Linked DNA regions of Medicago truncatula. The protein of the gene in region 1 interacts with the protein of each later gene in a pairwise test. Links are inferred from orthologs where the notes say so. Each region holds a gene or a part of one and is shown on either strand. Other genes may lie near its edges. The genes, in order: clathrin heavy chain 1 and clathrin interactor EPSIN 1.

The links.
Region 2: the proteins of clathrin heavy chain 1 (region 1) and clathrin interactor EPSIN 1 interact in binary tests that used the Arabidopsis thaliana proteins (3 or more experiments, as listed by UniProt). The link is inferred for Medicago truncatula from reciprocal best matches to the Arabidopsis thaliana genes AT3G11130 and AT5G11710.

Annotation. Positions count from the first base shown.
Region 1 is NC_053044.1:35,325,195-35,338,696, reverse strand, and holds the start of clathrin heavy chain 1, read right to left. Parts: upstream 6,645-13,502; 5' UTR 6,439-6,644; coding exon 6,391-6,438; intron 6,088-6,390; coding exon 5,883-6,087; intron 4,826-5,882; coding exon 4,737-4,825; intron 4,621-4,736; coding exon 4,542-4,620; intron 4,401-4,541; coding exon 4,273-4,400; intron 3,841-4,272; coding exon 3,742-3,840; intron 3,634-3,741; coding exon 3,525-3,633; intron 2,332-3,524; coding exon 2,252-2,331; intron 2,174-2,251; coding exon 1,946-2,173; intron 1,859-1,945; coding exon 1,793-1,858; intron 947-1,792; coding exon 830-946; intron 661-829; coding exon 463-660; intron 92-462; coding exon 1-91. Other genes in the region: 60S ribosomal protein L10a-1, read right to left, coding at 12,936-12,989, 13,462-13,502. UniProt on the Arabidopsis thaliana protein: Clathrin is the major protein of the polyhedral coat of coated pits and vesicles. Mediates endocytosis and is required for a correct polar distribution of PIN auxin transporters.
Region 2 is NC_053042.1:4,648,036-4,660,632, reverse strand, and holds the start of clathrin interactor EPSIN 1, read left to right. Parts: upstream 1-7,446; 5' UTR 7,447-7,584; coding exon 7,585-7,625; intron 7,626-7,747; coding exon 7,748-7,799; intron 7,800-8,983; coding exon 8,984-9,063; intron 9,064-9,193; coding exon 9,194-9,272; intron 9,273-9,393; coding exon 9,394-9,477; intron 9,478-9,591; coding exon 9,592-9,737; intron 9,738-9,847; coding exon 9,848-10,090; intron 10,091-11,171; coding exon 11,172-11,296; intron 11,297-11,655; coding exon 11,656-11,849; intron 11,850-12,587; coding exon 12,588-12,597. UniProt on the Arabidopsis thaliana protein: May have a role in transport via clathrin-coated vesicles from the trans-Golgi network to endosomes. Stimulates clathrin assembly. Does not seem to bind to phospholipids.

The DNA.
Region 1 (13,502 bases):
CAAACTCCCTTTTCTCAGCGAAAGCAGCAACAACTTTTGGAGTAGCTCTGGCTTTGATATATATTTTTAAAGCAAGATCATTGTCCACAGTCTACAATGGAGAATACTAATTGACATTAAAAAAATTGTATACCATTTGAAAATAAGTAAATCCAACTAGACATAGCACTAGCATATCATTAAGAAAAAATAAGAAAGAAAAGAAAGAAAGAAAAAAATAGGGTCGTGCTAACAAACAAGTGCCCTAGTTAAGGATTCAAAAAAGGAAATAATTTACAAATTTAATGTATGAAAAATTACTTTTTAAAGTTCCAATATGTTGAATACACAAATCCCAAGATAAAATTTCATCTTTGGGCATCTTAACAAGTGCCTTTAAGGCACTTGTTAGCATTTCCAATAAAAATAAATAATAAACAAATTTAAAACTTTCCGAAATTTCAAATGCAATGCAACCCCAACCTTAACAAGATCTCCAAGCTCCTCACTGCACTCAAGCTTGTCCTCGGCCAACCAATTCTCCAACAGATTTTTTTTGTTCTGATTCACAACAAGCCGTGACAGTTCGAGTGATTCAAAGGCATTCAGCTTTCCTCTAGTTAAAAGAGTTCCAAAATACTGCAACAATGGGGGAGTTTGCCCAGCTTGCACAGGAACACTCTGCAACATAGAACAGATTGTGAAACTGACCACTAGAATCTAATTTCCCAGAAAAATACGACAGCACAAGACAGTATGATTTCCTTCATCCCTCAAAATAAGTAAAGATGATTGTTTACAAAAAAATTGTTTTAGAAACAGTATGAACAAAATACTCCTATCAAAAAACCTGAAATTTGGCAACTGTATCGGGTGTACGAAGGATTCCTTGCGGAGACTCAGCAGCAAGCTCAGCTGCCTCTTTATACTTTGTTTGAGCAAATAGTTCATGGAAACGTTCTACTACCTGTATTGTCAACAAGAATGTGCTAATAAAAATAGAAACAAAAAAAATAAATACCAAAAGAAAGAAATTTTTTGAAAAGAGGCTAATGCATAATCCAAGATAACATTCAATTCCAATTAATTTGCAAATTACCAAAAAATTTAGCTAAAGAGGAACCACGGCACAACGATAAGAGTTGCCGCCATGTTGGTCAGCCTCTTATAAATACAATGCAAGGCTGCCTACGGTAGATCCATAAGGGGTCTGACCCTTGGACCCCACCCACATGGCGGGAGCTCAATAGCAATTGGTTTACCTTTTACCAAAATTATTAATCAAAAAATGCAAATATCATTAAAATAAAAAATAAAAAATAAAAAAACAGATTTCGAGCAGCTTAGCATTCAGGTCACCCACAGTGTGAATGTTTGGATTGGATTTGGCGGCATGTTTGACTAAACCACGGTAGCACCGTGATTTTGTTGAAGCTCCAAATGTAGCTTTTGACAAAATCGCGGACGCACAACGTTATTTCTCCAAACTCACTGTCGATCCAAACATACACAATCTTTCTTGTCATAAGCGTCTATCTTTTACAAGCATAAAAAATTGTCAAAGTAAAAGGTAGACACTGCAACGACATACAACAAAAGATCAGTAAGGAAAGGATATTTCTGCATTGATTTTTAATAACCTGCACTACCAAGTATTTATTAAAATATTGAACTTTCTACAGCAACCATGCACCCAAACTTCACGCAAGTTAGCACTTAGAAATTGTATGAAACCCAACCACGATTTCTAGCGACTTTCCTGACCACATCTAGCAAAGCAATATATTTATATATTAACTAGATATCAACATACCAACTTCTCAGCACCAGGAAGATTTCCTCTCTTGGCAAGATTAACTGCTAGCTCCAAATTGTTTAACTGTGATAATAACCAAAATAAATTAGTAACAATGCGTCTTTCTTTCCTCTTCACATTAAAGAAGTGATGAAAAGATCAGAAACATACTTGACCACTGACAAAATTCACAATTGTTTGCTCATTAACCGTAGCCAGTAACACCTGGCCTCTCCTGTTAATGGCATAAAAGCCTCCCACTGATGTAGCTTCTGACGTCAAAAATATAGGATCTGGACTGATTCTGTTCCTATAAACAGCAGTAGCCGTCTCCAAATCATAGACAAATAGAAGACCAAGTTTGGTAATCACATAAATCAAACTGTATTTGTGGGATATCTGCCAAAGCAACAAATTATGAATCAACTACCTGCACAGTTAACAAAAATGAACAACAAACACTAGCAACCCCCTTACCTGCATGGAAACTGGAAAATCATCAGCAAAATCAGGAGGAAAGAACAGATCTGCTTGTTTCTTTGTAAATGAAGGTTTCCCTGCCAACAAATTTGGAAAGTTAAATCCCAGAAGGATGATCAACTGAATTACAAATTGTAACATTATACAAATGATTTATTATTGAAGCAATATCCCGATCCATCTTTAAATGCCCACACTAATTTCAATAAACTGCTTTATGATTACATTGAAAGCCCGCAAGAAGTCAAATTTGTTACAATAAACATCATTCATACGTGAAGTAATCACTGGAGCATGGCCCGGCAACATAAGTTAAATTATTTAATTAACTAAAACTATTAGCAATGATGAGTAACCTCCTCCATATGTTTAGTCCACTGCATGATCACTTTGATTCATCAGTCCACAATTGAGTCTCATAATTATTCAGAAGTGAAGAATTTTAGATTGCAAGAAAAAATTTCTTCTTTGGGACATCTTTCAGAAAAGTTGGCAAGGTAGTTAAAATCGAGATTGTACACAAAATCGAAAAGGGGAAGTAAATTTGTACAATCGTAGTATTATACAAAACTCATACAATCGTAGTATATATATAAAAATAAAATTACATATAAGACAGAAAACTTCAAATCACACTTAAAGTACATATGTAAATTCAAATTCATTACCATCCTTTCATAGACAACAAATCTATATATAAAAGGGATGAGAAAGCTGATATGCTAGTTAAACTCTACTTATCGTTCTTTAGTTTATCTAGAGCGATTAAGTTAGCAAAACGGATTTCTCCGTCTTTGTTTGCTAGCATAACTGATCCTATGTCTGACGTTCACAAATCTATATATAAGTTTTAGAAAGGGGCATCCCTACCCCCTAAATTACAAGCTAGCGCGCAACGGCTTTTCGATAGTTTGAGGTTTGGAATCATAAGATTGTACGACTCAAATCGGGAATCCACCCAATTCCACAAAAAATAGGATTATATGTGAACTCCTAATCTTTAAGGGAAAACATGATCGCAAAATCGTAAGATTTTATGATTCAAATCAGGATTTTGACTATCATGAAGGTTAGTTTTCCCACATACCTCTACTAAATACAAGCTATGACCAATTTAAAATTTATATTTTCGTTTCACAGGGAAAAAAGCATGCTTCGAACTCAACATATGACAGCCAAATTGGCAATACAAGACAGATTTATCTTAAAGCCATACTACCCATAGATTAATTCGTAAGAGGTAAATGTGACAGCAAAAAGTTATACAGACCTGGCTGAGCACCCAGCTCAATGACATGCAACTTGGATATAACTTGACCGGCATTAACTGTCTTGGTGGCAAAAGAAATCAAAGTAGACGGATTTTCATTCCCAGGAACCTGTTAAAAAACAATTCAATATTGTCAGCATGTAATAAAACCATATAGTAGTGTACAGTTATTCAAGTAAATATTTAACAACAAAAATACATGCACAAAGAGACATACTTTAAATTGAGCAAATGAAGCCGCATGAGCTTCAAGAGCCTGGCTGCGCTGTTGTTCCACGGAGAATAGTTGCATGTTTCCTTTCACCAATTGTGGCCTCTATAATGCAAGAAGATATGAAGAAATAAACCAAACAAGAACAGGCTCATGAAAATTACAGTATAATAGATCATGATTGTTTTCAAGAACTAACTAATTTAATATATTAATATGTTGGTTTAAGTATAAATAGTTTCATATCTAACATGCCTCCTCATACACAAGTCTATTATTAGATTGCATTAAAATTCAATTTCTTATATAACAGGTGAAACAAGATCAAGTTCCCCACTAATAAATCAAGGAGGCCCTAATACAATTCTAAGAACCATTTGCCCAAAAGCTTATGTTGTTCAGTTTCATATCTAACATGTATCAAAAAAAATTACCGAAAATTCAGTCAATCAAAGTAGAGGAATGAGCTTAAAGTTGAAACTTGAGGAATATTTCACCATGATAACCAACTTAATATAACAAATACTAGAGATATACCTCAGGGGAACCAGGAGCAATACCAATCAAGACCAACCATTTTTCGGTAGGGTCACATCGATAATTAATTATTTGATTGTTTGCCAGATTTGCTGTTCTCTCAAACATCTTTACAGGTTCAGAGTCGCCTACAAGTTACATATATCACATACCAACATGCCAGTTAACAATTTGTAGACAAGCTAAAAGTGCACTGAAGAATAATCGACAAACTTGAAAACATATCACAAAACCATATTTAATTAAATTTTAGTTCATGCATATCTTACCTTCAATTGACCAGTGGTATACAGAAGTCTGTGTCACAAGACCCAACAACTTGGGGCTAATCCACTTCCAAAAGACTACCTACACATGAAACAAGGACATTTACAAGGATTAACAAAGTTGTATCTATCACTCATTAGTTTACAGTACATGCACAGTTTACAGTACATGCACACAGTATAACTATAGACAAATACCTGCTCAGGCATCTGATACGATTTCATCTTTGCTTTAAGTTCAATATTAAATATTTGTAAATGATCTTGAGTTGTTCCTTGGAGTTGAGCTTCAAGAGAAAAATGCACCTCATAAGTCAATATATTTCTAATTCCTAAATATACAAATGAGTGCACACAAAGAGAAGCAGATGAAATAATCAAATAAGAGTAAGACATTACATTATTTCCAAATGGTTGGACGAACATTAGGCTATCTTTAAAAAAATAAAAAAAATTATGCTATCTTAATTACAATCGTCTTTCTTTTTTATTACAATAGTTCTCATACACAAAAATAAGATATAAAAACAAATTTTTTGATTTTTTTCTCTTAATATATAATAGTTAAGGGAAATTCCACCCATCTCCCTTGAGATATGTTTAAATGCAACATATCCTCTCTATAACATAAAAACAGTGTTCCTCTATTCTGTAAAGGGTGTATTTTCAACAAATCTAGAAGAGGTGACTGCAATTTTCCAAACAAATACGAGTGGCGAGTATTCGATTAAAAAATGGAAGAGGGTCGTGTGTCATTTAAGCACGCATGACTGAAGTGTAATCTCCGGACATAATTTTGATTTCATACATAGAATTAAAACATAAGAATACAAATCGATTCGTTTTGTCAGGTCCGTCAAAGATCTATGCTTCACGGGTATGAAACCCTAGCAATCGGGATGCATAAAGCACATATCTAAAAGACTTTCTAGTCCGCTCCTAATTGAAGTCAATCGAATTAAAACTAAGTCGTTTTCGTTTAATAAAATAGTTGCATATATGGAAATGGGGTCTCGCGCCAAGGAAACGCGATATAGAAAGTTTTTTCGAAAAACCGCGGCACCATTCAATGCATTATAAATTTCAAAAACAACACTTTCAACTATTTTCCATGTTTGAGTGTAGTGGAAATCACATGCTATGGCAAAAACATCAAAACTTAAATTTTACATCTCCTAAGATATAAATAATAAATTTAAGCTCCTAATAAATATTGATCTTTACAACAATATACAAAATTCAAACCGATAACGAAATGTTCACAGCTATATAATCCACAACATTACCAGCTACAAACACAACTTACAAGTTCAAAACAAAAACAAAAAAGGAATAGTAGCAAACCTTTCAAAGCAAGAATTCTAGAATTAGGATTCATAAGAGCAGAATCAGCAGTAATAGGTCTCCTCAAAGGCTGATTTGGCATGTTCATATCAACAATAACCACGCTATTCTGCGGCGCAGTTTCTCGAACGCATATATACTTATCAGATTCCATCGTCACATGCGTGAATGTTATGTGCTGTGGATTAATCCCAATGCTTGGCAACTGAAATCACCACAAAATTCAAATCAGAAACAGATTCAACAACTTCACACTTAAAATCCAAACACTTAAGCAACAAAAACAACAAATCATTCAGATCTGAGCAAATTCATCGCAAATTCAACGTAAATTCAGCAGCAAAAAAAAAAAAAGTAACTTCATAATCAAACTAGAGTAATCAATTGGAAAATTATAATTGATCAAAGCTTATAAAAAGTAAATAAATTGATATAATCGTGAAAACAAGAGATGTTAGATTGTTGCTGATGAGTTAAAAAATGGAGTAATGAAGAAGAGAGGACTAACAGTGAGAGCTTCACGCATGAGGATCGGAGCGTTGGCGGCGGCCGCCATGGTGAAATGGATCGGAGATTGAGATCTACAGCGGTGGTTGAATCGGAGTTCAAATCAGTACAAGATCTGGAAACAGCTTGGACTCTCAGAGAGAGAGAGAAGAGAAATGAAAAAAGAAGAAGAAAAAGAGGTGCAAGTGACACTAATAAAGCGGGATTTAAGAAAGAGAGTGGATTTTTTAAGGAAAAGGAAAATGATGACAGTGGAGCAAAGATCTCGTTTTATTCACTAATGCGTTAATTAGGTAAAAAATTTAATTTGTTTTGTTGTGGAAAATAACATAATAACAGACTGGTGTGTATTAACACAGGAGACGTGTGTTACTTGTTGATGGCTTAGTTAGTACGTTTTGATTTTGTGACAGGTGAACTGGGTAATGGTCCAACTTATGTTAGAAAAAAAAAACATAAGTTGGCTTAGCAAGCAATTATGTTTTTTTTTATAAGGCGAAGACAATTGTACTTATGTAACTTTTTTTGAAGGAAAGTACTTATGTAACTTTGTTAAGCATGTACTTTGGTCCGATCAATGACATATGGTATTTTTATATTATTTTACTTTAAAATAAATGTAAATGTTAAAAAAATTGTCTAAAGATTATTTGTATGTAGTCAATCAAATTCAAAAGTATTTAAGAATTCACTTTTTTATAATTGTAATTTTGATCTTCTATTTTTATAAATTTTGATATCGATATTTAAAAAATTTATAGTTTTAAGGTGTGTTTTATATGCACAATCAAAACACAAAACAGCATATTTAAACACTTGTCAGTCAAACGCATCATTTATCAAGTTGTAATTCAACCGACAACAATTATTATTCATAATCAACAACAAAACATCGTCATTTATAATTCAACAATATTACATCAGTTCAACATTATGCACAAAGGATTGAAATACAACAAATATGACGGAACTTGACAACATTGTACAATATTACATCAAATATTTTAAAACTCAACATGACGTTAGATCTCTACTGACAATTTGGACACTTGTAGTTTGAACTAACTCAAAGATATTGTTTACTATCTTCGAACACCATCGAGACAGTCATGGATACTATAACGACACTGTCATTTAGCGTCTCTGCATGATAAACACTAGTTCCTTTGTCGTTATCATTTCAGACTAAGATATATGCATGGTACTTGTACACCAACATGACAAGTAATTGATTTTCATCAAGATGAACTTAATGTTGACTAAGTTCTGTCTTCAACTCATCTAATTTGTCTATGGGGGTTAAAAAAATTGTAATTGTCCTCTTGAAAGTTTCATATCAGACATGACTTTCAACTTTCTCATCATGAGAGATAATTCACTTGACATAAGTAAATACAAGAGAAAAGGCTAATTGTTCAAATTGAGCCTATAAAACATACTTAGTCTGAAAAACTACTTTCTAATAAATAAAAAAACATAGATTCTACCCCTAAAATTTTAAATTTTTTCTATTTTTGACCTTCTATTTTTTTTCTCTATAGACATAAAGTCCAGAAAAGCAACCTAAAGATCGTTTTTCTTTTTTTATGTTTTTTTTAAGGCAGGCTTACGACGTTAAAATATGCCTTTCCACATAAAATTAGAATTTTCCAACAAATGATAGATTAAATATTAATTTTCAAAGCACCAAAAATGTTAAAACAAAACAACAACAACTGAAATACCAATCTAGAAATCAAATTTTGAGTATGTTTTTCGCATACATCTCTATAAAAATACATGCTCTCTCCCAAATTGTAAGCAAAAAATAATAATCACACTTATTAAGAAAACTAAAACATAAGAAGTTGGAGTATAGTTTTTTGTATTTTCTTTGGAAAAAGTTTTATAGGAATATGCAAAAACAATTTTCATTGACTATTGGTTGTGGAGAAAATGAATGAGAGATAAACAAAAGTTTGTATTGGCAAATATGATTTTTTTTAAAAAAAACAAGATTAAATAGGATAAAAGTTTGTATTTTTTGCTTACATTTTGGGACAAAAAAATGAGTTTTTTTTTTTTGCTTACATTTTAGGATAGAGGGAGTATAAAATTAGATCGGCAAAATTTAGTAGCATAATTTTTATGATTTTCAACCACTACGTGCAAAATTGTAATTCTTTTTCGAGTATACATATACTCAGAGGTGAAATTATGTTTCCGACTTTTGAGACATAAATAAAACATCATAGGAACCTTCACCACAGGATGTTCAAACGAGGGATGAATGGATTATTTAAGTAATTCATGATTAATTTCTCACTCGTTTAAAAATTTAAAAATTTAGTGGCGACGGTTCTTATGATGCACTCCCTCTGGTCACATTTATAAGTAAATGACAACTTTTTAGGTTCATTGAATAATTAATGTATTTGGTCTATAAATATGACTAAATACATTAATTATTCAATGAACCTAATTATTATTTTTTTGCTTATAAATGTGATCAGAGGGAGTAGTAAACATGATAACAAGATTCAGGAACAAGATTTGACCGTGATTTTATGCTTATTCGGAGCAAAATTGTAATTTTGCACTTTTGGTTATGAAATTAAAAAAAAAAATCAAGGCATAGATGGAACACAGCAAAACTTTGATGATCCAATCTGTGTATTTTTATAGAGGTTTTTTGCGAAAAATCAACTCAAACTTCAATTTCTAGGTTGAGATTTCCATTGTTTATTTTTGAGTTTTTGCGCTTTAAAAATTCATAATTAATTCGTCTCATGTCATGAAATCTAATTTTATGTGGAAAATCGTTCGTATTTTAACGTCTTAAACATATCTGAAAAATATTATGAACATTCAATTTTTGGGTTCTTTTATTATAGGGGTAGAATATGTGTTTTCTTTTATTATAGAGTCATTTTCCAAACTTCGCGTACATTATAGGGTCAATTTATATATACAATTAACCCCAAGAAAAAAAAATATCATACTGAAATGAAAGAAACTATAAAATGAAGGGTTAATATGTCTTTACCCCCTGTAATATATGACACTTTTGATTTTGCCCCCTGTAATTTATTTTTTTTAGATTTCGTCGTTGTAAAATAAAGATTCCCCTGAGCCTTTGAGTCAGCAGAATCTCTGACGTGGCAACTACGTGGCTTTTTCTTTTTTATTTATTTTTTGACTGCCACGCGTAAAAAGCAATTTACACGTCATTAATAATTAAAAAAATATGAAAATTAATTTTCAACAATTTTAAAAAACAAATTAATTAGGAAATTTTATTTTTTTTAAACTTAGAAAAAATCTCAAATTTAATATTTTTCGAATATTTCAAAAAATTATAAAATAAGGAAGAAAAAGATTCTAAAATATCCAAATATAAATTAAGAAACTTCAAAAATTATAATATTATCTAATATTTTTTTTTTTTATAATTAAGTTTCAGAATATATTTTTTAAATATTCCTAATTTCGTAAAAAATTTGATTTTTTTTAATTTCAAAAAAGATTTCATAAAAATTCAGAAATAAAACTGTCGAAAAAATCTGAAATCTTTTCTAAATTTAAATTTTTTGAAAAAAAAAACTGAAATTCAGATTTTCAATTGAATTTAAAAAAATTATATTCAGAATTTAAAAAATCTTCAAAATTTCATAAATTTGAATTCTCGAACAATATTTCAAGATTTTATAAAAAAATTCAAAAAAAAATCTAAAGTTAGGATTTTAAATATTTAAATAAAATTGTATCGTTTCCAGATTATATAATTGGAATTTAAAAACATTTATATCCAGATTTTTAAAAATTAAAATATTTTCCAGAATTTTTATTTTTTATAGAAAAAAAATTAAAATAAACTTTTTTATTTCGAAAAAAATCTAAATGTTTTTTAATTTTTGAAATTTTATTCGATTTGAAAAAATAATTAGAATTATTTCAGATTTGTTAAAATTTTTAAGAATTAATTTTCTGATTTTTTTTTAATTTTTTAAATATAAATGACATGTAAACTATTTTTACGAATTCTTTTTTGATTTCAAAAAATAAAAAAATTCATTTTTTTTCTAAAATTAGGAAGGATTTTAAAAAAAATTATGGAACTTCATTTTCAAAATAAAAATTTCAATTATTTTTCAAATTTTTGAAAAATAATTTTTTTCTTATTTTTAAAAATTAATTAAAAACAATTAAAAAATATTTTTTGTTTTTTAAAAAGAATATTTTTTTAATTATAAATGACGTGTAAATTCTTTTTTACACGTGGCATCCAAAAAAAATTGAAAAATAAAAAAAATGCCAATATTGTCTTCCTAGACAATCTACAAGTCATTGAACTGCTATAAGTCTGAGTTATCTTAAAGTTCATGATTACCATTCCGTTAGAGAAATTCAACACTACATGTTCCTCAATACTCCAACAATTATGGTTCTTAAACCCCGGTCTCTAACTTCGTGGTTACGTTGCGACTCTGCTTTTGCCACTTACTATCTTCTTTCACCATTCCTTCTAGTTTCTAGTTGTTGGTTCCTCTTTAGGGTGGATCTATATGAACTTATTCTTAAATTGCTTAATTAATGGTTGCGTGAAATAAAATATTGATTAAAATTTCGGATTTTTCAATGTTTAGAATTATACCATTAAATAAGTTTGTAAACTTGCATCTACGGCGTACATCTTCTCACCCTTTATATTCTCATACTCTTCCTTTTTCAATGGAGTAGATGATTACAAGTACATATGAGAGTGCTACTAAAAGCATCCACAATGGTAGTTCTTTAATAAAGACTCCTTAAATGGATCTCACGTTAGAGATCACTTATATGTAATATTTTAATAAAAGTATATATTAAGGACTCAATGACTCCAATAAAAGTACACTAATAAGAACTCTAATAAAAAATACTTAAATAGATCCCACTAACTTTACATCATTAAACAAAAATAATTTATTTATTAAATTATAAATTACCTCATAATATTTTAATTATAATCCTTAAAAAAAAATTAAATTATAAAAAAAATTATTTATTCGAATGAACTTAAATTTCTGGCACATTTGCTAATAATTTGAAAATGGAAAAATTAACGGTACGTGGTGGATATGAATCACACAACTAAGCCTCTGTTCAATTGATATCAAAAGAAAGCGTTAAATAAATATATGCTAGAGATAACTTTTCCTCTCTTCACTCATTTCCTTGTTGGATACTATCAGTGGAAAGCAGTCCAACTCCTCTGGAAATGACAGCCAACTGGAGTCTGGAACCAGCAAACACTTAGGAGAGGCGAAACCCTATCTTCTCTCTTTAAGTAGGTAAACCTGAGTTTAGAGCCACCTCGATTCGGAACACCAACCGAATCCTAAACTGACTTCAGAACAGATTACAAATAGATAACTTTACATTCTTAAAAAAAAAGATACATTTCTTCGTTAATAAATAATTTGCATGAATTACATTTTATTTAAACTGATGACAAATAGATAAAATAATATTTAAAACAATTATTAATTATTAAAATATATTTTCTTTTGTAAATGGAACCAAATAATACATATTTTATTACTTCTTTTAAACGATTACTCTTTTTTTTTTTCCTCTTAATGATCGTTAAGTGGAGATAGGAGATATAGTTGCTCATTCATTAATGAAAACTCATTTTTATTACTTCTTTTAAACGTGAGACCCGTTAATAGCTCAAGATATATGGTCCTTGTATAGTTGCCCATTCATTAATGAGGACTCATTTTTTATTTCTTTAATGGAGGATCCTTAACAAGGAGTGATCACCGTTAAGTAAGGACTAAGAACTTCCCATTGGAGATGCTGTAAATGATCCAGGCAGTACTGTTACCTTCTTTCGTCCAATTAAAATTTATCGTAGTAACAAGTCTTGTATTCTCGATTAAAAAAAAAACAAGTCTTGTATTTATAATGCTTCAATTAAGATATTTTTTAAGTTGTATATGTTGAAGTTGAACGGTAAAAAATCGAACCATAGTTAACTATCAATGGAGGCAAAAACAACATTTCTATGTGTTTTTAAGAAAAACTTAATGTGAGAAAAACAATTTTCTAAATTTTATCTCAACATTTATTTGCAAATAATTTTGCATTAAATACTTAAACTGGTCTGGAAGCAATGAAAATTGCCACCACAAGACACTTAAAATAGGGGTTCAATCTATAGTATATCAAGGTTCTTAAAACAAAACAAAATGGCAACCTTAATTCAGGGTTATTTTAGCATGCATGGTTATCTTTCACACTTGCGTGTATCTTCAGTTCATCTCCCATGATTCGCTGAAAGATTTGTTCATTTCATTGTAACAAGATGAGTAGCACAAAAAATAACAATCATCAGGAAATGAGAAGCACAAAAAGTAGCACGACTAACATTATCAAATATTCAAACATAAAAACAACAATTTAACAATAAATAATCCAGCAAAATTGTAACAAGACGAAGTTTCTATCAAGCTATTCGGACAAATGTATTGAAGGAGATGACTGACTTAAATATTGAAAAAAGATAGGAAATAAGTTCCCTTAAAAGACACGGTAAGATTTTCCCATTGAACTCTTCAGATACAAGCACCGAACCTGAAATCAAGAGTAGGTTATATTAGATAAATGTCTGGTTCATTCATACTGAATATTCCTAGGATATTGAAGAAACAACAAAAAATAGCAGTAGAGTTTAAAGAATAAGCCCGTAAATCAGTGTTAAAAAATTTCAACTAGGGAACTAGCATACACTCTAAAGTTATCGTAGCAAACACATTCAACATGATGCAAATCAAAAAAGCAATTGTCAAACCACTTATCCCTAATTTGAGGTCAAATTTTGTACACAGATACTACAGCAATTCAAGGAATAAAAATAAAGGAAACATGTGTGCGGATGAAAGAAAGCATGTTAGGTTGCAGGCACAAACGATGCAGAGCATCATGCTACCATTTCACCGGACGGCATCTAAGAAATCATACTTTCTTGTAACTTACAAAATAAAGGTAAAATAGAAGCAAACAGAGCAATGAGTTTAGGCAATGATGAAATAAAAGGAACACTCACATTCTGCCAGTTCTTTTTCAACAAGGAGACAAGGAAGTTAA
Region 2 (12,597 bases), on another chromosome or scaffold:
GTGATGATTCGATGAGGAATCATCTCAAACCTTTGTTCATCCAAGCCAAAGTGAATGAGATCGGTGTTAACAAAGTGTTGGTCGACGGTGGTGCTGCTGTCAATATGATGCCTCAATCTTTACTCAAAAGGATTGGCAAGACTGACAATGATTTGAAGCCTCATACTGTGATTCTGTCAAATTATGAAGGAAAGGCTGGTCATTTTCTTGGTGCTCTCCAAATGAGCCTAACGGTGGGAACCATGGTTAGACCAACTTTATTCATGGTGGTCCCTTCGAAGGCTAACTTCAACTTGTTGTTAGGGAGAGAATGGATTCATGGGATAGGCGTTGTTCCCTCATCCATGCACCAAAGAATCTCAATTTGGAGAGATGATGGTATAGTCGAAAACATTGATATAGTCGAAAACATTGAGGCTGATCAAAGCTATTTTCTTGCTAAAGTGAATCAAATTACAAGGAAAACTTTCGACAAGAATTTAGCGAATATTGCTCCATGTTCATCTGCAAAATCTGATGATGCTAATCAAACATATGCAAGTTCTATGAAACTCCATCCAACTCATGGTTTCATGTGGAAAAGGGAGACATTCTACACATAATTTGATATGGAAGATATGAATTCCCTAACCTTAGGGAATGATAAGGATGATCGTCACATCTAAGCAAGGTGCTTAGAATTGAATCACGGTTGTGTTAGCTGGAGTGTGAGATCAAAAAGGCCTTAGTGGCTGGTACTTATAAAAAGATGGTTAATTAAGAGAACCATTAGTGAAGATGCTATCGAAATACTTAAGTTTAGGCTTAAGGAAGTTTCGGTCAGTTGATCATGAATTTGATTGTATCTTCAATAAGGAATTGATGTGATTCCTTTAGTTAAAAATCAAATGGTAAAATTTTGGCATTTAATTGCCTTAAAGATTCAAAAGTTTGGGTAAGAAACCATAAGCCGTGGGTGAAACCAAAATGGATATAATTCTTGTTTAGAACCCATATGGCAAATGTAACACCCCGTTTTCCCAACTTGATTTTTTTGTTGCATAAATCAGAGTAAAACAACTAAACAGGATGCTACATTTCTTTCAAATCTGAATATAGTAAAATTACTAATTATCTCAATCATCAAATTAAATATTATTGAAACGGAAATTATTTCAACGTTTAAAACAACCTTGGCACAAAGGCCTCAACGTAAAATCTCATAAAGTTATTCCAACAACATGTTCATAAAACTTCATAAAATAATACGTAAGGAATAGAAAGCAACAACAAAATTCCCATCCCGTTACGTATCAGAGCGACCCTAAGACACATGTGAGAGAATCGACTCACTTCACAACTAATCTTGATTACCCGCAAGTTACCCAATTATGAGGGCAAATTTCCAAGCAGAAGGGGTGAGATTTCACATTCAATAATAATAAGCATATAATTCATCAAATGCATTTAACAACTTAAGCTTCATCAATTAATAACATTAACTCTTCTTATAATACTTCATTAATAACTCAACCAACTTCTAATCATCGTTAACTTCATATTCATCACATTATATACAACTTCATATAGCACATAATAATCAGATCATAAACATCATCATATAACGACATAATCTTCACATCATAAACATCATCTTATAACAACATAAACGATACATCATAAACATCATCTTATAACAACATAGACAACACATCATAAACATCATCTTATAACATCATAGACAACACATCATAAACATCATCATCTTATAACAACATAAACAACACATCATATACATAATCTTATAACAACATAAACAACACATCATAAACAACATCATAACATCATAATCAATATCATAAACAAAATCATATAATCTTCATAAGCACTTCATTAACAACACGTGGATAGAAGACAACTCAACAACTTAACAACTCATCATCAACTTAACAACTCATCAACAACGACTTTGACTCGACAATGCAACTTCGACTTCTTAATCATGCATGTGGTATCAATCCAGGGCATCAAGCCCCCAACATATTAAGCATAAGTACACTCCCAAAGCATCAAGCCCTCAACTTAAAGAGCAAAAGCTCACAGGGCATCAAGCCCTCAACGTATTGAGCATAAATACACTCCTAGGGCATCAAGCCCTCAACTTAAAGAGCAAAAGCTCACAGGGCATCAAGCCCTCAACGTAAATGAGTATGCATGGACTCAACAACTAATGCAGCGACAACCAACAACTTCAACGACATCGACAACAACTTACAACTTTAACGAAATTGACAACAACTTACAACTTTAACAACTCGATCAACATATGCAACTTAATGATTTAATAATCAATACAGCAGAGACAACAACATACAACAATTTCACAACATAGCATCATTAATAATAACAACTTGAATGGTATAACAACATTAGTTTCTATATCATACCTTTTCCACATAAATATATGTAACTCAAATTATTCAACAACAATATTCACATAATATATGTATTTCAAATTATCCAACAAAGATATTCACGTCAAACCAAATTAGATCCATCACAACATAGGTTAAATACTCTTAAGCACCCTAGTTGAACCTATATTACTTCTAGTTTTGAGGTTTGAAATTATTCCTTAAGTTTTGGATTAACTTAGAAACGGTTATGTTGAATTTTCATAAGATTTCACTAAGACCTCCTTGGAGTATTTTCATCATATCTCAAGAACCAAAAATCATTTTCACGTCAAACCAAAGCCACTGGAAAGCTAACTCAATTATCTACAACTTTCATGTTTACACCAAAGGCCAATTCAAAACAGAAACGTGTGAAAAAGACGCAAGAACATGAAAGAGGACGTGCTGTCAGAGAGCAACTCGGGAAAAACCCATTTTTCATCCCAAAATCCCAATTTTAACTTCCCTATGCCCAAATTTGATCCCAAAGTTTGTCAAAACATTTATATACATCAAAAGAGTCTGAAAACCATATAAAACTTGACCCAAAACATTATTTCAGAAAATCACAAATTATCAACCTAATTCATCGGATTATCTACTCTTAAATCAACCAATTACAACTTCTAAATCTAATTCCCAAAACTACAACCTACAACTTGTTAAATTCGATTTTCAGAATTATACCTCTTAGAATTAGAGAAAGTTAGTCTCACCCTTACCTTAGATTGATCGACGAAGGACTCTACCGCTTTCTCTCCTCTGACTATTCTATTCTCTTCTCTTGGTTTTCTCACTTTTTCGCCAAAAACAGGTTTCACGTAATCCTTATTTTCTAATTCTAACTATCCCCCCTTTATATAAATCCTTAACCTACTTATTTTCTCTTATTTCCAAATATGTCCTCAAAGTCTCAATATTCTATCATAATATATATATATATAATGGGATAGGATCAAATGACACCATGGTGTCAAAATTAGTTTGACACCAAATCTCATCCATTCATTATATTTAATCCAAAGGTTTAAAGCTATCCTTGTATAATTCTCCTACACCAATTTCTCTCTTTATCACCTAATTAAAAAAAAATCTTTATTATAAATTCATTATCAATCCTTTCCTCTTTTCCCCATTTTTACTACTTATTATTCTTACTTAGTCTTAAAAAAAAATCATGATTATGGTTGATTGGATTCAGTCATCACCACGGATAATTATATAAATTGCATTAAAAAAATTACATATTCAATCAAAAGACCAAAATGATTCTTTTTCTTTCACCATTGTTGCTATCTAACCTCTCAAAAATTGTTGCTAATTAGATTATTTTATCACTGATCATATTGTTTAAGCTTAATTACCTCAACAACAGTAAGCTTCAATGTCTTCTAAAAAAAAAATTAAAACAAATTTTTTTTTTTTTGAAGAAAAAATGTAAAGTAATAAAAAAGGGTAACGATGGTTGCTACGAACAGTAAAAAAGACGAAATGCATGAGTGTATGTTGTCCGTTGATTTTCACAACTGCACAGTCATGATTTCCACAAATAATGGCCAAATTAGTTTTTTATTTTTTAAAAACTGCACATGTTATATGCTTACTTTTCTTTTGTCAATCTCTTCGTTCAATATGACAATGCTCAATGAAAAAAAAAAAGTAATAATAAAAAAATGAGAGAAAAAAATGATTGATAATGAATTTATGACAATAAATGTTTTCCTTTTTTTCTTAATTAGATGTTAAAGGGAAAAATTGGTGTAGGAGAATTATTTTGTGGATAGTTTTAAACCTTTGAATTAAATGTGATGAATGGATGAAATTTGGTGTCAAACTAATTTTGACACCATGGTGTCATTTGATCCTATCCCATATATAATATAATATAAAATATTTCTATAACAAATAACAAATATATCTCTATAACAAATATATTTCTATAACATATATATTTATTCACCAAATAACAAATATATTTATACACCAGATAACATATATATTTCTACACCAAATAACAAACATATTTCTACACCACATATATATTTCTACACCAAATAACAAATATATTTCTACACCACATAACATATATATTTCCACACCAAATAACATAATATTTTATACTAATATATACCAACATATAACATAACAAAATATCACTCATCAAAATAAATCGACTAAATTATAAAAAGACATCTAAACTCAATTAAAGTAAATAAATAATAAAATAGGGCGTTACAACAAACTTGTTAATATCAATGTTTGGGGGCAAGCAATTATATTTATTGAAGTTTTACTTACAAAACTATGGTCTATTTGCGAATTCGTAGCTTTGTTGCAAATAAACTTTTATCCTGAACGATTAAAGATCTTTACCATTTTGTAAAATGTTAAAGGAATTGATTTCTTTGATAAGTATGTCGAAATAAAGGCATGTATTGAGAATATAAGCCTATTTGTGTGAAATAAAATAACACAAATATAGAAATTCGACAAAAGGAAAGAAAGAAACATTTGACTTTGGATTGATTTAATCATAGTAGCGATAGAAAAAATATATGAAGAAACAATAAAGCAAAAAATCTTTAAAAAAAATAGGGGAAAAACGGTTCTAGAGATTGGGTATAAAAAAACTGAAGAATCGAATAAGGAGAAAAAAAAAACTAAAATATCCTTAAAAAATTACATGAAGAGAAAAGTTGCAGAAAATGAGGAGTCGAAGGGGGTTTAGAGTAATAGAAAATAAACACACGCATGATAGGTTTAGTGATACATTTAATTTATCATTTTCTATTGGTGCATCAAACAAGAGATTTAAGTAGAATATGATAGTGTTATCATATCTGGTCTCCCTATCAAGAACATCAAACGAGCTCTAAGAGCAGCGAGTTTGTTTTTTTCCCATTTAAGAGTACTAAGATAAGATAACTCATATGAATGAATATTTGACATGAATGAATTTGTATATAATTTTACATTAAAACATATTCATACATTTGTGAAAATTCATTATTACATAATTATACACTAAAAATAGATTATAATAATATTAAACATTTGAAATGTTTTTTTTTTTAAAATTACCATGAATGAAAATTTTAATATGAATAACACTAGTACACAACACTTTATTTTAAATATTTATTTAATGTTGCTTTCTACATGATGAGGCGATGTACATTTAAAACCTAGCTTGTGACACGACAATTTAATAAACAATCAAATGTTCAAATACATCTGAGAGTCTTTTAAGTTTAACGTTTATATTAGATTAGTCGATTTAGTTTTTTTAGTTTTAAATTAGATATTTATATATATATAAAAAAAACAAGTTAGTCTTTTGAAAAAATTGGTAATAAATTGACATCTAACTTTGTTATAAAATTCTTACATAGCCATTAAACATTAAGGTGGAAGGTAAAAAAAAAAAACTTATGACACCAAATATGATTACTTACATGCATTTTTTTTTTCATTGTTTTCCGAATCAATCCTAATTTTACTGATAAATATTTCATTATAAACATTATAATCAAGTACTTGATCTATTTTTATTTTAAACTAAGATTGAATAATACACTTATGGTTCTTAGTTTTGAGAGCTGTAAATTTTGACCAACCAACGTAACTTAACAATTAACGTCCATGTTAATACTTTTTTAAATGATTTCAATTGGGAGAGGGTAGTTAAGACCTTTGTATAAGATCCTTTTGCTAAAATCACGAGAATTAAGAAAGTAGATATTTGCATTAATATTGTTTGTAATCACTATTGTTTTTATAATTTTATCCTATAAGAGATAGAGTTAGTTTATGTTTTCAACATATTATTTATTGCTAGTTGAAGAAAAAGATGTATAATAAATATGGACATGTATGTAAAGTAATAGTTAATGTACTTGAAAATATCAAAGGTGTCTTATAAAAAGGGATAAAAAAAATTCTCAATTTTTTTTTATAATTAGGAACGGAGATAGTATATTTTATGACTTAAAGACTATGTCAAAAAAAACTTTACTAACATAAATGACTAACTAACTAAAAAAACTAAAATGCTGAATCTAATTTCAAACATTAAACTTAATAGACCTTAAGATGTATTTAGCCAAATCAAATTGTTTTTTTTTTGTTTAGAAAAGCCTAATCAAATTGTTATAACTTATAAGTACCATTTTTAAAACCAACAAAATAAAATTAAAACATGTTCAATTTAGGCTAAAATAATACTATACTATATTTCTAATCCAAATGTTCAAGATATAAAAGAAAAAATAAAAATATAGATGGAATCCCTTAAAAGCAAGTTTTAGAAAGAAAAAAAAAGTGTTTATAACACTCTTTTTTGCAATAGAGTACAATCATTTTTTTCAAAATAATGATGTCATATGAGTTATAGCTGGCTTGGTGACAGATGAAGGAGTTAACATTGTAGGTAAAGTTATTATGGTCTTGATTCAATTTTCATCTCCGCATAAATTAACTCTTTAAATCTAACAAGTTTTGGTCCATTAGTCATATATTTGGGACTAAAAAGCGAAGATGTCAAATATTTTAAATTATACAACATACAATACAATGGCTTAGAATGATTAACACTCATGTGATTACAAAGAACATCTTTTAAAAAACTTCATTCTCAAACTGGAAAATTATTCATTTTTGCAACTTAGTCAATAACATGTATATAATTAATACATGTAGGTGATCTACATCGTCATCATTGAGTGAGAAACCAAAATTGGTAAACCAATTTCGTAAGTGTAAAATTAAGGGAATCAAACTTATAATAGAAAGAATCAAGCGACTGAGTTCAAATAATTAATAAATTTTATTAAAGATATATCATTTTAAAAAAACCGATTTTGATTTCTAAGTGTAATAATTACTAGTCCAAACTTTAGATGGTTAAAAAATTGTAACTGGAGTTTAATGGGAATGCACAGTTAGTTTTACACTGACGGTGTATATCTAGTTTTACACCGACGGTGCATATCAATTAAATCCATACAACAATGTGTAAAAAAAAAAAAGAAGAAAGAAATAGATCTGAAATCTTAGATATCACAGCAACAGAACCCATCGAATTTCGCCTCAATTAACACAAAGCTACATAACCTTTCCCTTCAGATCAGATCTACACAGATCAATCATCATGGATTTCATGAAAGTCTTCGATCAAACCGTTCGAGAAATGTAATGTTACATTTTCAATTCATCCTTTTTTGCATTTCAATTTTCATTTTTTTTTTTAAATTATCGAATTCGAAATATATTTCAATTTTCGTTCTTATTTGTGAATATTTGATTGATAACAGTAAGAGAGAGGTGAATCTGAAGGTGCTTAAGGTTCCTGAAATCGAACAGAAGGTGAAATTCTAATTTTTATTTTATTTCCATTAAAATTTCTGATATTTTGAAGAATTGTGTTGATTGATTAATAAATATATTTTTCTCAATAAGGATTGTTACATGTATTTGAAATCGAATCAAATTGAATTGAAATCGTATGAGAATTGGTTGCGGCAGCGTATTTTAACGTAGTTTTTGAATAATTTGTTGATGCTTGTTTTCATAGAATCATAAACTTTTAAGAATCTTTGTTCAGTTTGAGAATACATTTTATGTTGTGTTTGATTCCTTCTCTGCAAATGTAAACTGTGGAATGCTTGTTAAAGACGAGGATGTTGCGTTGAATGTGCGGTGAGACTAGACAAGATAGGATTAGAAATGACAATATTAGAGAGTTGGGGTAGCATCCATTATAGAAAAGATGGTGGAAACTCATCTTAGGGGGGTTTGGGCATGCAGAGAGAAGATCTGTAGATTTTGTAGTAAAGAGAGTAGATTAGATGGAGGGTAGTTAAATCACTGTTGACTATACGCAGAAAGAGACATAGAAAAACTATTAAGAAAGATTTATAGATTGATGAGTTGGATAGATATATGATATGTGATAGAACAATATGGTGTAATTTGATCCATGTAGCCGACCCCACTTAGTGGGATAAGGTTTGGTTGTTGTTGAGTCTGAAAATTGATCGTGGCAGCATATTATCACGTGATTTTTGAATAATCTGTTGATGCAAGACAGTTGTTACATAATTGCTTGTTTTCATACAATCACAAACTTTAAGAACCTTTGTTGAGTTTAATAATAGATTTTATGTTTTCTGCCTGATTCTTTCTCTGCAAATGTAATCTGTGGAGTGTATGTTTAAATTTCAAAGTATATCGGTAATGCTTGATAAAAGGGAATTGCACATGTTAACAATGTTTTTGATTTTAATTTTTTTTTTACATGGAAGCAAATCCAACCATTTTGCCAAGGCTCCTTTTCTATTTATTGAGAATTTCAAAATGTATTGAAGATTTTCTTTTCTTTTGCTTTAGGCAGTGTGTTTAGCATGTTATCATTGAACAATATTTTATATTTATAACTATGTATATGAGTGAAGAATAAGAATGTGGATTGATTGCCATGCTAGTACCGCACAATCTGCATTCCATTGGTATTGTTTTGTTGATTTTTTCTGCCACTATTTATAATTTAGGTGTTGGATGCAACTGACGATGAGCCTTGGGGTCCTCATGGTACTGTGCTGGCAGAGATTGCAACTGCTACCAAAAAATTGTAAATATCTACCTACTGCTTTTCCTTTTATATTGTTTTTTAATTTTTGAAAATTTCGTTTGGTTTTCATGGAGAAAATTTTCCGATGCAAGTTAGTTGATTGCTTATTTGCTTCTTCTGTACCTTCCAGTACTGAATGTCAGCTGGTTATGAATGTTCTTTGGACAAGATTGGCTGAAACTGGAAAGGATTGGCGATATGTATACAAGGTAACATTATCTAAATAACCATGTTATTACTTAAAACTTTAAGGTACAAAGAGAAGTGTTTTGTTTTGTTGCATTTTCTTTGTTGATACATCAACTCGCTTCTCTTTCTATTTGATGTCAGGCATTAGCTGTTATAGAGTATTTGGTATCACATGGATCTGAACGTGCAGTTGACGACATTATAGAACATACTTTTCAGATCTCTGTAAGGGCCATTCTCTTGCATTTAGCTAGTTTTTCTTGCAATTCTCAACAGTTCTTACAAATAAATCATAAGAGAAATTTCTTACATAAACACCATTTACTTTTATTGGTAAAGGCACTTTCTAGCTTTGAATATGTTGAGCCTAATGGGAAGGATGTGGGACTCAATGTAAGGAAGAAGGCAGAAAACATTGTTGCCCTTTTGAATGATAGAGAAAAGATACATGATATTAGAAATAAAGCTGCTGCAAACCGTGACAAGTAGGTCAAATTTGTCAATATTTCAATCCCATAGTGATTAGGTAAACTAAGCTGCCATTATGTTCTCAGCAAATAATTTTCTTGTTTTTCTTTTGGTGTGCTTAATTTAGGTACGTTGGAGTTTCATCTAGTGGAATGACATACAAATCCGGGACAACCTCATTTAGTAGTGGGAGCAGTAACAAATATGGAGGTTTTGGTTCAAGTGGTGATAGGTTTAGTGATAGCTACGGAGACAAGGGGCGCTATGATGAAGCAAAAATAGACAAAGATTACTCAGGAAAATCACGGCATGGTGTCTCAAGTAAAAATGAAGAGAACTCCTTCAAAAAAGGTTCTGTTCGGTCTGTCAGGTATGGCGTGCAAATAATGGTAAATGTATTTTATGCTTGTTCAGTAGTTCCATACTATAGTTGGATTGTTTTGCCATACATAATCCTTCGGAAGTTTGAATCTGAAGTATCTAGTGACTACTTTAGCAGTAGCACTTACTACATAGATATAGTTATTACCGTGTGTATTGTCATGTACATTGTTTTCTGATGCGCCTTATTCGTTACTGTATGTCTAGTTGTGCCCCAAGTTTTTAAACTAGTGAAGCCATTTACCAAGGAGTTTAGGAAATTGTTAGTTTTTTTAATAACTTGCTTTTAATAGTTTACCTTTCTTTTTGTACATTAGCTGGTCTCATAGAATTTTTTTTCTTTCTAAATAATTCAGTCATTAACCATATGGCCATGCACTCTCTTGTCTGCATATCCTAACAAATATATTAAATTTCATTATAATTAGAGCTTACTTTTTATCTTTCTTTACCTTGGACACCAATGAAGGCTCAAATTTCGATTCTAATGTCTGTTCTTCAGAAAGGAAACTTATTATTTGAAAATTAATTATCATCCGAAAAGCATTTCTTCAAATAATATTGACATAAGCAGGGCACTAAGTGTAATTTTTTTCTAATAGGTTTTATGGTCTCTTTTCCTTTAGAAGAAAATGTGTCATTTTTAGCAGAAGAAAATGTATCTTGTAGATCTATTAAACTGTTACTATTAAAATGTTGGGAAGTGCCCATAAGCATAAGAAAGATTTCTAATTGCTAAAAATTCTATAAAAGCTGAAATAAGCCTTTAACTAGTCAAAGACAGGCCTGTGCATGATACAACTATATGCTCATCACTGGACACATGTCCAGACTCAAACCTTTGATTCTTGATCCTCATTGCCTAGTTCAACAAGCTTATTTTGACTTGGAAAAAATTAAGCAGGAGTTTGGGTAAATGGTTGAGAACTTGAGATGCTTATCTCAACTCATCTTTTTACTTGCACCTGCTTTGGTTTTTATGCACAGAAAGGCACATGCTTCTGCCTCTCCATACTGCAATGATTCTATTCTGTTGCCCATATTCTTATTCCAGAGTGTCTTCCTTGCAGCAAAAGTCAGGAGAACAAATCTTCTAGAGCATCAAAGTCATCTGCTAATGCAGTTCCTTCTCAAAGTGCAAGTGTACCTACTGAGGACGACTTTGATGATTTTGATCCGAGAGGAACATCTAGTAGTAAGTATTCTGAACACTTAAGGACAATAAATTGAGGAACATCGCTTAAGGACAAGAACAATCACCAAATGGTGGGACCCCTTCCCGGACCCTGCCTATGCGGGAGCTTCAGTGCACCGGGTTGCTCTTATTTTAAGTGTTCAGAATACTTACTAGTGTTACAACTAGTAATTTATTGTATTCTGAAGCATTCACACAGAAGCTTTCGCAATTCAATTTATTCTCCTTAAGTGTTACAACTCCAGGGCCGCCAGAAAAACGGAAGAAAAATCAAATTGAACAATTGACTATGTATTTTGATTTCAAGGACAGGACTTTTACCTAATAAATTGTATTTTTTTTTTCCTTCCTTCAAACAGAGACTTCAGCTGGAAGCTCAAACCAGGTTGATCTCTTTGGACAAGATTTGCTCGGTGACTTCATGGATGCTCCAACATCTGTTTCTGTAGAAAAGCCAGCAACTAGTAATGTGTCAGATGTTGATCTCTTTGCGGATGCATCATTTGTTTCAGCAGCACCACATGCGGACAAAGGAGCTAGTTCTCAACCACAGGTTAGACTTCATTAGCAATAATTTGTGTTGCCGTTTTTTTTTTAATTTCAGCTACCAATTACCTGTTTAATGGCATGAATCTCCATCATTAAGTAGGTTCTATCTTACAACCTTAAATTGCCACATTCATTGGTGCTCCAAAAGTATGAATGTTGCCAATATGAATGGGATTGTTTAACTGCACTTTACTCCATCGATGTGAATATTATTGGTATATTCTTATTATGAATTATAACTGAACTAGTATTTTGAGACTGGAATTGTCTTTGGAGGAGAACATTAGAAATATTGGTGTTGATAAATTTTCACATGGGTGTATTAATTGCATGTGAGGAAAATTATTCAGCTTATTAAATTGTGATCACAATTCATTTGAGATAATAACGAGTTTGGACGTTTTTTAGACTTTAGAAGGGATGTAGAAATACAAAGACTAGACTAGATGGAGGATGGTGGATACTCCAGTAGTTGAAGATAGAGGAGATAACATGCAAACTTATAGCCCAAACCAATAAAACAGATTTAGAATGAATGATCCATCATTGGACTTAATTCATAACAAGATATTACGTCGTCGTTGGATTTATGCGGTCGAACCCACCTAGTAGGGGAAAATTTGGTTGTTGCTTTGTTAGATGTTGTAAAAATTATGGATTTACCTGTTTCGCTTCTTTCTCCACATTTTCATTCACGGTGCTAAAATTCCGCTTGTGTGTATCTTGTTGATTCCATGCTCAGGATGAAGTGG